Oryctolagus cuniculus: one gene and its partners. The protein of the gene in region 3 interacts with the protein of the main gene of each other region in a pairwise test. Links are inferred from orthologs where the notes say so. Each region holds a gene or a part of one and is shown on either strand. Other genes may lie near its edges. The genes, in order: TASOR2, SPMIP4 and KLHL40.

Evidence for each region.
Region 1: the proteins of KLHL40 (region 3) and TASOR2 interact in binary tests that used the Homo sapiens proteins (3 or more experiments, as listed by UniProt). The two-hybrid records come from large-scale screens. The link is inferred for Oryctolagus cuniculus from reciprocal best matches to the Homo sapiens genes KLHL40 and TASOR2.
Region 2: the proteins of KLHL40 (region 3) and SPMIP4 interact in a two-hybrid assay, tested with the Homo sapiens proteins (2 studies listed by BioGRID and IntAct). The two-hybrid records come from large-scale screens. The link is inferred for Oryctolagus cuniculus from reciprocal best matches to the Homo sapiens genes KLHL40 and SPMIP4.

What each region holds. Positions count from the first base shown.
Region 1 is NC_091444.1:79,647,690-79,651,337, forward strand, and holds part of TASOR2 (protein TASOR 2), read left to right. Parts: coding exon 1-250; intron 251-1,609; coding exon 1,610-2,039; intron 2,040-3,648.
Region 2 is NC_091447.1:16,946,938-16,950,585, forward strand, and holds part of SPMIP4 (sperm-associated microtubule inner protein 4), read right to left. Parts: intron 1,595-3,648; coding exon 1,420-1,594; intron 1,119-1,419; coding exon 1,027-1,118; intron 1-1,026. UniProt on the Homo sapiens protein: Microtubule inner protein (MIP) part of the dynein-decorated doublet microtubules (DMTs) in flagellum axoneme. May serve to reinforce and thus stabilize the microtubule structure in the sperm flagella.
Region 3 is NC_091441.1:105,283,673-105,287,989, forward strand, and holds the start of KLHL40 (kelch-like protein 40), read right to left. Parts: upstream 2,944-4,317; 5' UTR 2,851-2,943; coding exon 1,681-2,850; intron 507-1,680; coding exon 346-506; intron 134-345; coding exon 26-133; intron 1-25. UniProt on the Homo sapiens protein: Substrate-specific adapter of a BCR (BTB-CUL3-RBX1) E3 ubiquitin ligase complex that acts as a key regulator of skeletal muscle development.

The DNA of each region.
Region 1 (3,648 bases), on a different chromosome or scaffold from region 3:
GAAAAGTCATGCCTTTTCGGCATCAGCAAAACATCTCCCCACTACAAAAGCTTTCTGAGGATCCACTGATAAAGCGCAAGAGCCGATTGATGTCTTCCAATCTTAAAAATGTTTATTACTCTCATAACGTATTTAGCTGTGATGGCTCCTTGAAGGTCACATTCAAATGTGAAGCAGAATATGCATTCAGCTTAGATAGCAAATATACAAATAATCCACTAGAAAAAACTGTTGTAAGAGCATTACATGGGTAAGTATGAGTGAAATATAATGCAAATGATGTAACTTTTCTGTTGAGATTAGTGTACTGAGACAAGAAACCTGTGAGAGACTTTGAGGAAAAAGAAGTGTTAGTGTTATGTTGTGTGTGAAAGTAGTTTGGTAGTGTGAGATAGAGATTATGTTTTACACTTAAGTTCATGAGGAAATATTCAAAACATTGGTCAGAGTAATAGGAACTGAGTGGTTTTATTTAGGGTTGTTCTATTAATCTTCCTTAAGAAGGGATTAAAGCAATAATAATAGGGTAGTTAACAGCCAGGCTTTGCAGTTTAGACCAATCTAGGTTTGAATCTAGGCTCTTCCAGTTTTATCACCTCTGTACTGTGGGCAAGTTATCTGCTTCTGGACAGTGCTTTTCAGTCTTCATTGTGTATGTGTATCATCCAAGGATTTCACTGAACTGCAGATTCTGGTGTAGTCTGTTTGGGATGAGGTCAAGAATCTACATTTCTAACAAATTTCCAGGTGATGTCAATGGAGGATGACAGTCTATGGGCAACACTCTTAAGAGTATGGGTTTCATAATGGTTATATCCTGAGGTGATTACATATATTAGGGTTTTGCACAGTGATTGGCCCATGACTGTTGGCAGTTAGCATTAGCTATATGGAATGACCCAATGGAATTTACAGTTAGATTTCTTCCCTTGCACCTATTCACATATACTTACATTCACATATATACTTAACCTTATAAGAATCATTTCCTTAGCTTTAATCCTGTTTAACTGCAGCCTAACAATGCAGCTTCCCTAAATCATTCCCACTCTATCTGCTTGCTTTAACCATTCAGAGGCAAGAAATGTTTTATATGTCATTTTGTAGTTTTGTGATATTAACTGTAATCTAAAACAGTATATACAATTCTGCTAAATTGCCCAGATATTCTAATTTTTAGACTTTTTCAATGATTAGAAGACAAAAATAAGAAGTATTTTCTATTTGTGTTATAGTAAATTAGCAAGAATTAGGAAAACCAAGGCAATAAGGATTTGGGTAGTTGCTTTGAAAGCATTATTCATATCTTAAGTATATCATGTCCAGCAAAAGTTTGTGTTACAGAAAAGCAAATGCTGGTCTAGGATTTGGGAGATCCATGTTCAGACGATGGTGATACAGGTTTCACGGTCTGAAAGAAGTCACCTACATGTTTTGATTTCAATTCTATTCTCTGTAAATGAGTGGGTTAGAGTTATTTGCAAATTTCATATTCATGTTTAAATTTTAAAATAAAAATGCAAAACTGAAGTTAATAGTAGAGACTTTTATGATAAGCAACCAAAAGAACTATTTTTAGTGATTTTTGTGTGTTTCTTTAAAATCTCAGGCCCTGGAACACTGATTTGCCTGATAATGTGGAGGAAGTGAAGCTTTTACTGCATATGTGGGTAGCTCTGTTTTATAGCAATCAGAACAAAGTCATAAGATCATCCCGAAAAGTGGTAGAACACAGCAACCCAGCAAAATATGTGTCTATAAATAGTACATTAGAATCTTTTGAACTCAGTGAAATTGAGGAGTTCCCCAAAGTGGAAAGATGTTCTGCAGACCCTCTTTTGGAAACAAAAGAAACTTCCAAAGGTTATGCTACTGAAGTATCCTTCCCTGACCATAACTGCTTGCTTCCTTTCATTAAATCACCTCCTGTCAAAGGCTTGGAACTCTGTGTACAGAATGAACAGAAAGAAATTTTTGCAGGAAAGTGTCATCTAGATACTTCAGAAAGCCAGAATTTCATCTATTCGTGCAATAGTGAGGTAAGACTGAATACTGTAAATGCTGGCATTACTTTTGCAGACATTTTCAGTTTTTTGTATATAAAGTCACATTCAAAACAAGGTATTGTTTACTTCAGAAAGGTGAATTCTTTAGGTATACAAGGATTATTGGACCAAAAACTTGATTTTCTTTAAGTGTCACTCAGTTCTCTGCAGGTGGATCTTATCTGTCATCCTGATGGAAATAAACAGTAGGAAAAAATCATAGGTTAAATATTTTGGAAGCTCACCATAATTGTGTTATTAGTTTTATCATTTGGAACAGATTGTTTATTCTCTCTCAACTTATTTTCTAAATTTTTTAAAAAAGATATATTTATTTGAAAGGCAGAGTGACAGGGAGGGAGAAATAGATCTGTATGCTGGTTCACTTCCCAAACTGATGCAACAACAAGGTCTGGATCAGGCTTAAGCCAGGAGCCAGGAACTCTACTGTTTTTAACTGATTTTCAGCCACACCAGATAATCCAGATATTAACTGCAACAAGTCAAAAAGTTGTAACAAAATTCTAAGTAAATGAATTGACAAAATGCCTATCATTTTATGCTTTCAGTATGGATTTATTCTAGAATAAATTAGCATGGATTTAGATAGCACCTATGATGCCTGTCTTAACATTGGGTAAGCAATAATTCTAAACCTGGGGTTACTCATTCCATTTATGAGCCTTAGAGGGCTTGCAAAATGAGCAGGATCATTATCAAAGTTAAGATTTCGGGAGCATACATGCCAGATGGTGTCCTAAGCCCTTTAATAACAGTAACTCAATTCTCAAACCAATGAGGTAAGGACTGTTATTCTCCACATTCTGTAGATAAGCAAACTGTGGCATAGAGAAGCAAGGAAATTGTTGAAAATCATGCAGTAAATTCTCAAGACTCAAATCTAGGCAGCTTAGATGTTTGTCAATGTCAGATTCAGTGTATGTGGGTACATATATAAGGAGTCTTCAAAAATTCATGGAGAGAGCATTTTTTGAAAGAACTATACATGAATTTTAATTGTTTTTGCACCAAAATAAACTTTTCTCATTTTTGAAGTACCTCTGTAAAGATGCATATTTTTGTGTTTATGTATATTGTAGTCATATATGTGCTTTTTCCCCCCGAAGATGGAGTTCAGAAAGTTCATCTGATTGTTTAAAAGGTACATAAAAAACAATTAAGAATTACCACCTTAGCATAAGAAAATGTAATTTAGTCAGGCAAATTTTGATTACTATCCAAATAAATACTTCTTATATATATATATATATTATATGATTTATTTATTTATTTGAAAGAGTTAGAGTGAGCTTCCATCCACCAGTTTACTCCTCAGATGGCTGCTACTGCCACGGTTGGACCAGCCTGAAGCCAGAAGCTTTATCTGGGTCTCCCAATGGATGGCAGGGGTCAAACATTTGAGCCATTTTCTGCTGCTTTTCCCAGGCCATTGGCAGGGAGCTGGATTGGAAGTGGAACAGCTGGGACACTAATCAATGCCTGTATAGGATACTAGTGTTACAGATGGCAGCTGTTTTTTGCAGATGGCATTGCCCCATACACGTAATAGTTTCTTAAAGTACCTTTTGGGGGCTGGTGCTGT
Region 2 (3,648 bases), on a different chromosome or scaffold from region 3:
TGTTTTTTCACAATAATCATACAGCTGCTTCCTGAGGGGCCATGCCTGTGGGACTCTGGACCGCTGCTGACCTCCCCTGACAGAGTCAGAGGACGTGTAGTTCTCTGAGCCTTAGGGAATGCTTGTCACAGATGAAAAATAAAAAACAATTACAAACACCCAGTAAGTGATAAGGCAAAGTCTACAAGACCGCTTTTGCACTTAGGATTTTGTATCACCTTCTGAAATGCTGAAGCTTGTACAAAATAAATATGTTCAGCTCAATCTAAAAAAATGTTTAAATTGAAAGACTCTTAAAGTTATTTTATGTGTGCCTTTCATACATGTTTGAAAATAATTTTGTTTCTAAAATTTACAGTTGTAGAGGACAAAACTTAGCCCTGAAATAAAATAACACATATGTATACTGTTAGGTCATTTCATTTCATTTGCACAATTCAGCTGACAGATGATACTTTCTGTCCCTGGAGGCCTTGATCAGTTCTTTCAGGCCATTTCTTTCCCATAGCCAAGTGAGAAGTCTCTGTTGCTATCTGCAGAGAATTTATGGGCTTCTGATTGCAATTCAGGCACCCCTCAATTACTGAGACAGTTGTGAGGAAGCCTGTGTCTCAAAAGCAGCAGTAATGCACAAGATGGACAGATAGGAAAAGGTCCCCAGAACTTACTGAGAATCCCATTAAATTACTAGCTAAGGTCTATTCTTTGGTAAATCAGTTTCCTTGTAAGTTATTTTAGCAACTGCACAAGTTGCATGGTAGAAATAGCTACAAGTACCATGGTAGAAAAATCTTTCTCTCTCTCTACATATATATATTTAAAAAATAGCACTATGAAGAGGAAGGGAAACCTTGCTTATTTTTTCCAGGCAATTGACAGATCAGTTTAGAATTAGCTTCTGACATGGGTTGCAAAGTTTCCCTTTGCTAGCTTTAGCGTGGTCACCAGTATTCATGATACAAATAAAAAGTACAGTAAACAGGAGCCCAACCCCTAAGTAACTGAGAGTTGACTGTAACTACTTACAGGCTCTGGGTCAAATCCTATCTGTCCAGTTAACTCTGCTACCTCCTTTTCATGGTAATCATCCAGTTCAAGGGGGTCCATGGGCCCCAGACCTTAATGGAAACATTGTCTTATTATTTTGTCAGAGTAAATGAAAAAAAAAGGGGCTTGAATTACCCTTACCCTTTATAAGAAACTTACCCACTACCTTTGTAAGACTCATAAAAAGCCAATGAAATGAAAACCAACTGTGTCTCCCAGCTGACAATCAACAGAAACTGACCACCCACCTTAATTGATGGTAGTACTTGGACTGGGAAACAGAGAACTATTAGAAGGGGGAAGCGTGTGGCAGCCTTTGCCAGCTATTCCAGTTTTGCTGTAATTTCTACCTGTATTCAGGTGAACTCATACCTGTAAAGTTGTGAGTGTATGAAGTGATCCAGTGGTTCCTCTCAAGATTTCTTTGTATGTTGGCTTCTTTTGCAGGATAAATAGGGTCCCATGAATTTAAAGAAGTGTTAGGAGCGAAGGTTTTAGGAGGTTTTGGGTAGAATACTGGCTTAGTTTTATCAACACATTTAGGAAACTAAAATATGAACAGAAAGATTATTGCTGTTAATGTCCTCTGGTGGAGTAAGAGCTGATTCGTTACGTCAGCAGGAAAGAGGCAGAAGGAAACTCCAGGAAGAGTCAGACACTGCCTTTTCCCTCATTAGTTACAAATATTCTGAATCTGTCCCAGATATAAACACATCCTACTAAGGGAATGCGAAGGTCTTTCTAAAGTCTCTTCCTTAGCAGGGACTCTGACAACGTGCATAGGAGAAGTGCTCTGAATCCTCCACCTTGAGTTTTACTTCAGATACACAGGGCCCCAAGGCGCTCTTTGGGCTCAGTTTAGTTACAATTGTATGCCGCCTCCTATTTTTCCTTTCTTGCCTGAAATGAAACCATTCAGTGGCTTTTATGACTTCATGATGAAGGTGAAGTCACTCAAAGTTGTTTCCATTCTTGAGACACAGCTGTGGAGTTTTATGTGTGTAGGTAAATATGATAAATATGACTGAATTTCATTGCCATCTTTCTGGTTCCTTAAAAGTGCACCTTTTCTTAGATTGATGGAATCCTGGGACTGGATTCAAAGTCAACTGGTCAGGGGATTCTGAGGTCCAAGATCATAGCCCAGAATGGGAGATGGGGAGCATGGGCTCCAGATACATGTACCCTTTTGCCTCATAAATTCCTGGCCACACAGAGAGGCCACAGCCAGAGGAAGGCAAAGTTGGACCATCTCAAGTCCCTAGGCCTATGGATGCTGCTGCTTGTAGCAACCACGAGGGTGGAGAGATCCCCATCCTAACACACTGAGAGCATGTATGGTAAATGACACATGAAGTCCTGTGGGGCAGGTGTTGTGGCACAGCAGGTGAGCTGCTGCTTGGAATGCCTGAATCCTCTGTTGGAGTGCCTGATCTGAGTCCTGGCTACTCTGGACTTCCAATCCAGCTTCTGCTAATGTGTCTCGAAGGTTGTGGATGATGGCCTAAGAACTCGGGTTCCTGCCACCCATGTGGGAGATCCAGATGGAGTTTTTGGCTCTTGGCTTTGGCCTGACTCAGCCCTGTCTGTTGTAGGCATTTGGGGAGTGAACAAGTAAATGAAAAATACTGTTCTCTGGCCTTTCTTCTCTCTGTAACTCTACCTTTCAAATAAATCTTTAACCGAAAATTTTTTTTTTCTAAATCTGTGGCTTACTTATTCAGAGGGTAAAGAAAAGCCTTCTTTGTTCCCTTATCTTTTTCATTATTTATAGAGCCAGCTGACTTGGAAATATGAAGGACTTTTTTTTCCCTTCCAAATACTGTTTTTTTCTTTTTTTTAAAGATTTGTAAAATTTATTTGAAAGGCAGAGTTACAGAGAGGCAGATGCAGAGAGAGAGAGGTCTTCCATCTGTTGGTTCACTACCCAAATGGTGGCAGTGGCTGAAGCTGGGCTGATCTGAGGCCAGGAGCCAGGAGCTTCTTCCAGGTCTCCCACGTGGGCGCAGGGACCCAAGGAGTTGGGCCATCATCTACTGCTTTTCTAGGCCATAGCAGAGAGCTGGATTGGAAGTGGAGCAGCCGGGACTTGAACTGGTGCCCATATGGGATGCTGGCACTGCAGGTGATGGCTTTACTCCCTACACCACTGCACTGGCCCCCAAATATTGTTCTACTAATAGGAGTGGCCTACATATTTATGTACTCTATATGGCCTGTAGATCACATGTTCCCCACTCTTGGGGCTGGAGAGGAGGGAGAAGATTAAGAAGACCTTGGCAGATAAATAACAAGGCATCCTTGCCATGGATCCTGCCCTCAGAAAATGATTTCACAGAAGTGAGAGGCAGCCTGGGACGGGGTTTCTAAAAGCACCCCAGCTAGTTGTGATGTGTAGCTGAGGTTGAGGACCTGCTCCGGCAGGAGGTAAACACAATATAAAAAATGGAGCACTGCAGATAAAGCTGAAGCTCTTTGACCACCTCCTCCAGTTAAGTAGTGGGGAGGACAAGACAGGACCTTATCCTAAAGATTAAAAAATGACAGCAAAGATGAGCCATGTGTTAGTGCTGTCAAGTTCACTATCGATGTTATTTTTTA
Region 3 (4,317 bases):
CACACTCACCCTGGCTGAGCCTCACCTGTCTGCGCCTTTGCCACCGATGACATAGACAAGATCCATATGGGACAGCACCGCATGGCCGTACACCACGTAGGGCAGAGGGTCCGACTCGCCCCACTTGAATGACCTGGAGGGGCAGGAGGGGGCAGGCTCAGGCACTTGTTCGGTGGTTTGCTGTCTCTGCATTCACCCCCATACGCAATGCAGGTTTGGGGTAGAACTATCCCTCCCTCCCTCCCGGCTGCCCACCCCTTCCCAGTCCCACCCATGGTCCACGACCTCCTGGCCCCTGCCAGGTCCCCAACCTGCCCCCAGGGCCCAGCGGCGGCCCCCACTCACAGCCTGTCGTAGCACAAGACTGAGTCCAGGCTACGCTCGCCATCCTTCAGCTCTCGGCCGCCCACCACGTAGATGGAATTCACAGCCTCTCCCAGGCCAAAGAGACAGCGCGGCGAGGGCAACGGCGGCATCCCCAGCCATTCTGAGTCCAGGTGGTCAAACTGCAGGCCAGACGTGCAGTCAGCTTCAGTCCCTGGTCCGACCCCATCCTGCCACCCAAGCTCCTTGCCTCCTGGTAGGGCCAGCACAGCCTAGAGGTGGTCCCTGGAGAGAGTACCTCTCCCACCATTAAAGCACAGTGACGGGGCACCCTGGCCCAGACTGAAGGGGGCGCTGTGGAGGGAGGTCCAGCTCTGGCTTTGGCCTCTTCCCCTCTGCAGCGTCCCACCAGGGTCTGCTGGCCCCTGCTCTCCACTATGTCCCTGACAACCTACAGGGTGCAGCCCTGGGCACCTCCGCAGCCTTGGTGGAGACACCGGGGGCTCACCTTCTGGGGTGGTTTTCTAAGAGCTGACGGCTGTGCCGATAAGCATGTAAAAGCATTGCTTAACCTTCCAATAAACCTATCAAGCGAGAAGAATATCCCCACTTAACAAAGAGGCAGAGAGAATAAACAAGGCGCTCCCATTGCTGGCGGAGCCACCCCCACCCCCCCCCCTGATCCACTGGCAAGGCCGGCACCACGCTGCCGTGCACCCCTCGTGCTGGGCGGGCCTCACTGAGTCCAGTGTTCGCCAGGCTCGTTCCTGCCCCCGGTCCTTGCTCACCACTTCCACCTTCCCCTTCAGAGAGTCCACCAGACAGGCAAGCCCACCAGACACGGCAAGCCCAGCACCTATCTCTGCCTGCTGAGATCCCACAGTCGCACCCCCAACTTGGTCAGGGCACTTTGCTCTGCTGGTCTTCCCTGGGTGTTCCGCAGTTGCCTTGGCCGCACAGTGGGGGGACCGGGCAGGATGGGCCTTTTGTCTGGGATGCTCTGTCCCAGGTCCCGTCCTAGCCCCAACATGCTAACACTGACCTTGCTCTTCCTCCTCACTATGCCTGCTCCCAACGCCCTTGGGCAGAGCCAGGGCTTCCAGCATGTTCCAAGGAGGGGCTCACATGCCCCCGGGAATGCACACACACCAAAGCCACGCAGCTCTTCGGCAGCTGCCTATAACCTTCTGTAACCTTCAGGCCAAAGGCTGTCTATCAACATCCCATCACCCTAGACCCGGAGACCTTGCCCAAGTGGCCCCAGCCTCCTCCTGGGCCCCAAAGTTTCGTCCCGCCCGGCTCTCCCAGTGCCCAGAGCTCAGCACTAACTGGTCCCTCCCAAGGCTGGCCAGGCACCTGCAGGAAGTACGCGCTCATGGGGTCCTCCTTGTTGTCCTCGTTGTAGAAAAGGCCTCCGGCCACGAAGACCTGGTTCTCCTTGGTCACCAGGCTGACGTGGTTCTTGGGGATCTGGGTGGAGAGGGAGGCACAGTAGCACTCGTTGGCTGCCGGGTCGTAGGCCACGGCGCCTTCCTCGCTGATCATGAAGATGAGGTCTTGCAGGAACATGCCGAAGCGCAGCGTGTCATTGAGGATCCCCGGAAGGACGCGTTCCTCCTCTTCCTCCTCCTCCTCCTCCGCCTTGGTGTCGCCGGCACCCTTGCCGGCCTCCTTCGCGCCGGCGGCCTCCTTCCCCTTCTCCGTCTTCTTCTTCTTCTTGCGCAGCGTGGTGAGGCGGCCCTCGTGCGCGTCCTTCACCATTTGCACCTTGCGCAGCAGCTCGGGCTGCGCGCGAACGAGGGGGTGGCGCTCCACGCGGCTCTCCAGGAAGGCGCGCGGCAGCAGGCGGCAGCGCACGCTCTCGAAGACGGTGGGCAGCGCGCGCTGGCGCTCGGCCTGCGCCTCGGCGTCGCCGCTGGCCGCCCAGCGCATCACCGCCTCGAACACCGCCTCTTCCTTCTCCACGTTGAGGCCGTCGCTGGAGATGATGGCGATGAGCTCGTCGGCCGAGAGCCCCAGGAAGTCGGCGTCGCGCGCCACGAGCGTGAAGCGCGCGCAGATGAAGTCGCGCGCGGCCACGGCCAGGCGTGCGCAGTCGAGCAGGAGGCCCAGGCGGAAGACGGCCAGGCAGTTGGCGAGGCACAAGCGCTTCTGCAGGAAGGAAACGCAGATGGTGAAGATGGACGGGATCTGGAAGCGGTGTGCCGCGGCGAACAGGTCCTGCACGCTCGCCTCGTCCAGCGCGATCTCCGACGTGTACAGGTAGTGCAGCACCTGGGCCACCACGTCCGGGGACACCTCCTCCAGCCGCAGCTCGCCCGCGCGCTCCGGCTCGGCCAGGAAGCGCGCCCGGAAGTAGGGGCTGCAGGCGGCCAGCACCAGGCGGTGGCACGGGAACTCGCGCTCGCCGGCACGCACCACGCAGTCCAGGAACTTGCCGTGGTCCAGCATGTCTTTGAGCCCGTCCTGCAGGAGCGTCTGCTGGTACAGCCGCTGCTCCTCTGCCTGTTCCAGGCCCAGCGCCATGGTGGGGGGCGTAAGGGGTCGCAACCGGGCCGGGGCACTCCTCTCTAAAAGAGCGCTGCTCTCCTGCCCCGGGGCGTGCTCAGACTGCGCAGTTGTCTCCCGGGCTATATATAGAGGCGGCCCGGGCCCTGTAAGGCGAGCTGCCCGGCCTCCCGCACATGACGCACGGCAGACAGCTGGGCAGAGGCCCCCTCCCAGGGCAGCGTTGACGAGCCCCCGGGGCTCATGGGATGGGGGTGGGGTGTCTGGGCCTTCCCCCAAAAAGGGGGCCTCCCTCTGGACTCCTTGGGCTAGTGATGGTCTGGGTCTGGGAGACCCCCCAGACCCAGAAGGGGGAGTCTCAGGAGACTTCTTCCGGGGTCTCCTTCCTTCGTGCCTCGTGGACCTATCTGCCAGGCCGCCCCCCCCCCTCCCGACTTCCTCCCTGGGGTTACAGCCGGCTCCAGCCACCCCTGTGTTCAGTATACATGGCATTCCTGCACAGTGAACTTAGACATGGCATACACTCTTGGGCCTTGCTGCCCACCTGTAAGATAGGAAGAGGTTTTCCTGATTCTGCCTGGCCTCTGAGACCCCCCTTCTTGCAAGACAGCCCTTAGGTAAACAAGGGGCTCCTGGGGCAGGGCTTATCTCAGCGCAGCCTCAGTTTCCCCCGTACACAGTGAGGAGGAAGAGGAGTCAGACTCTGCTGAGGTTGAGATGCAGGAGGACAGTGTTAGAGGCGTGTCCTGTGCTAAGGCCTCAGGCGTTCTAGAAAGCTCATTTCCAGGGATTCTGTTGTTGGAGGTGCTGGACCCCAGGGCATTCACGCTCTAGGGAAGCCACATTCCGAATGCTAGTGTTCAAAAAGTAACACCCTAGGAGTTGCATAGTTGAAGACTTTCACTGCCTGGCCACATTGTTCTTGGTCCATACTAGGCGTGGTCTGAGCCTGCCTGGCCTCTGGGACCCTCCACCTTGTCTTCCATCTAAGGGGTCTGGCTCAAAGCCCACCCTACTCTGGACTCCTGACCACCCCCAAGCATGCGCGCACACACACACACACCAGCCTCAGCCACCAAAATTAACTTGTTCCCAAAGTGCCGGAGGCTGCAGCTGTGGTTTAAATTTAGCCCGGGCACATTGGTATGAGTGTTAAGGGGCACTCTCCCCCATCATTCCTCTGAGTCACTTGTTTATAACCGCCGTCTTGCAGGGGGGAGATAGGAGAGAAGACCTCGGGCTGGGCCAGCACTGAGTCACCTCCCCTTTTGTGATCTGAGCAGCGTCATTGCCGGTCCCGACTGTGCCGTGCACCTGACCACCAGCAGGTCCCAGAGGGCCACGGTGGTCCTGTCCCTCTTTGCCTACAGGGCAGGGGCTGGCCCAGGCAGGGCAGGTGGTCAGCTGCCAGCCCAGGCCTGGAGCATGTGTAGTGAGTACCATCAGGAGGGAGGCTGGGCTCCGAGAGCCTCAGCGACTTGTTCA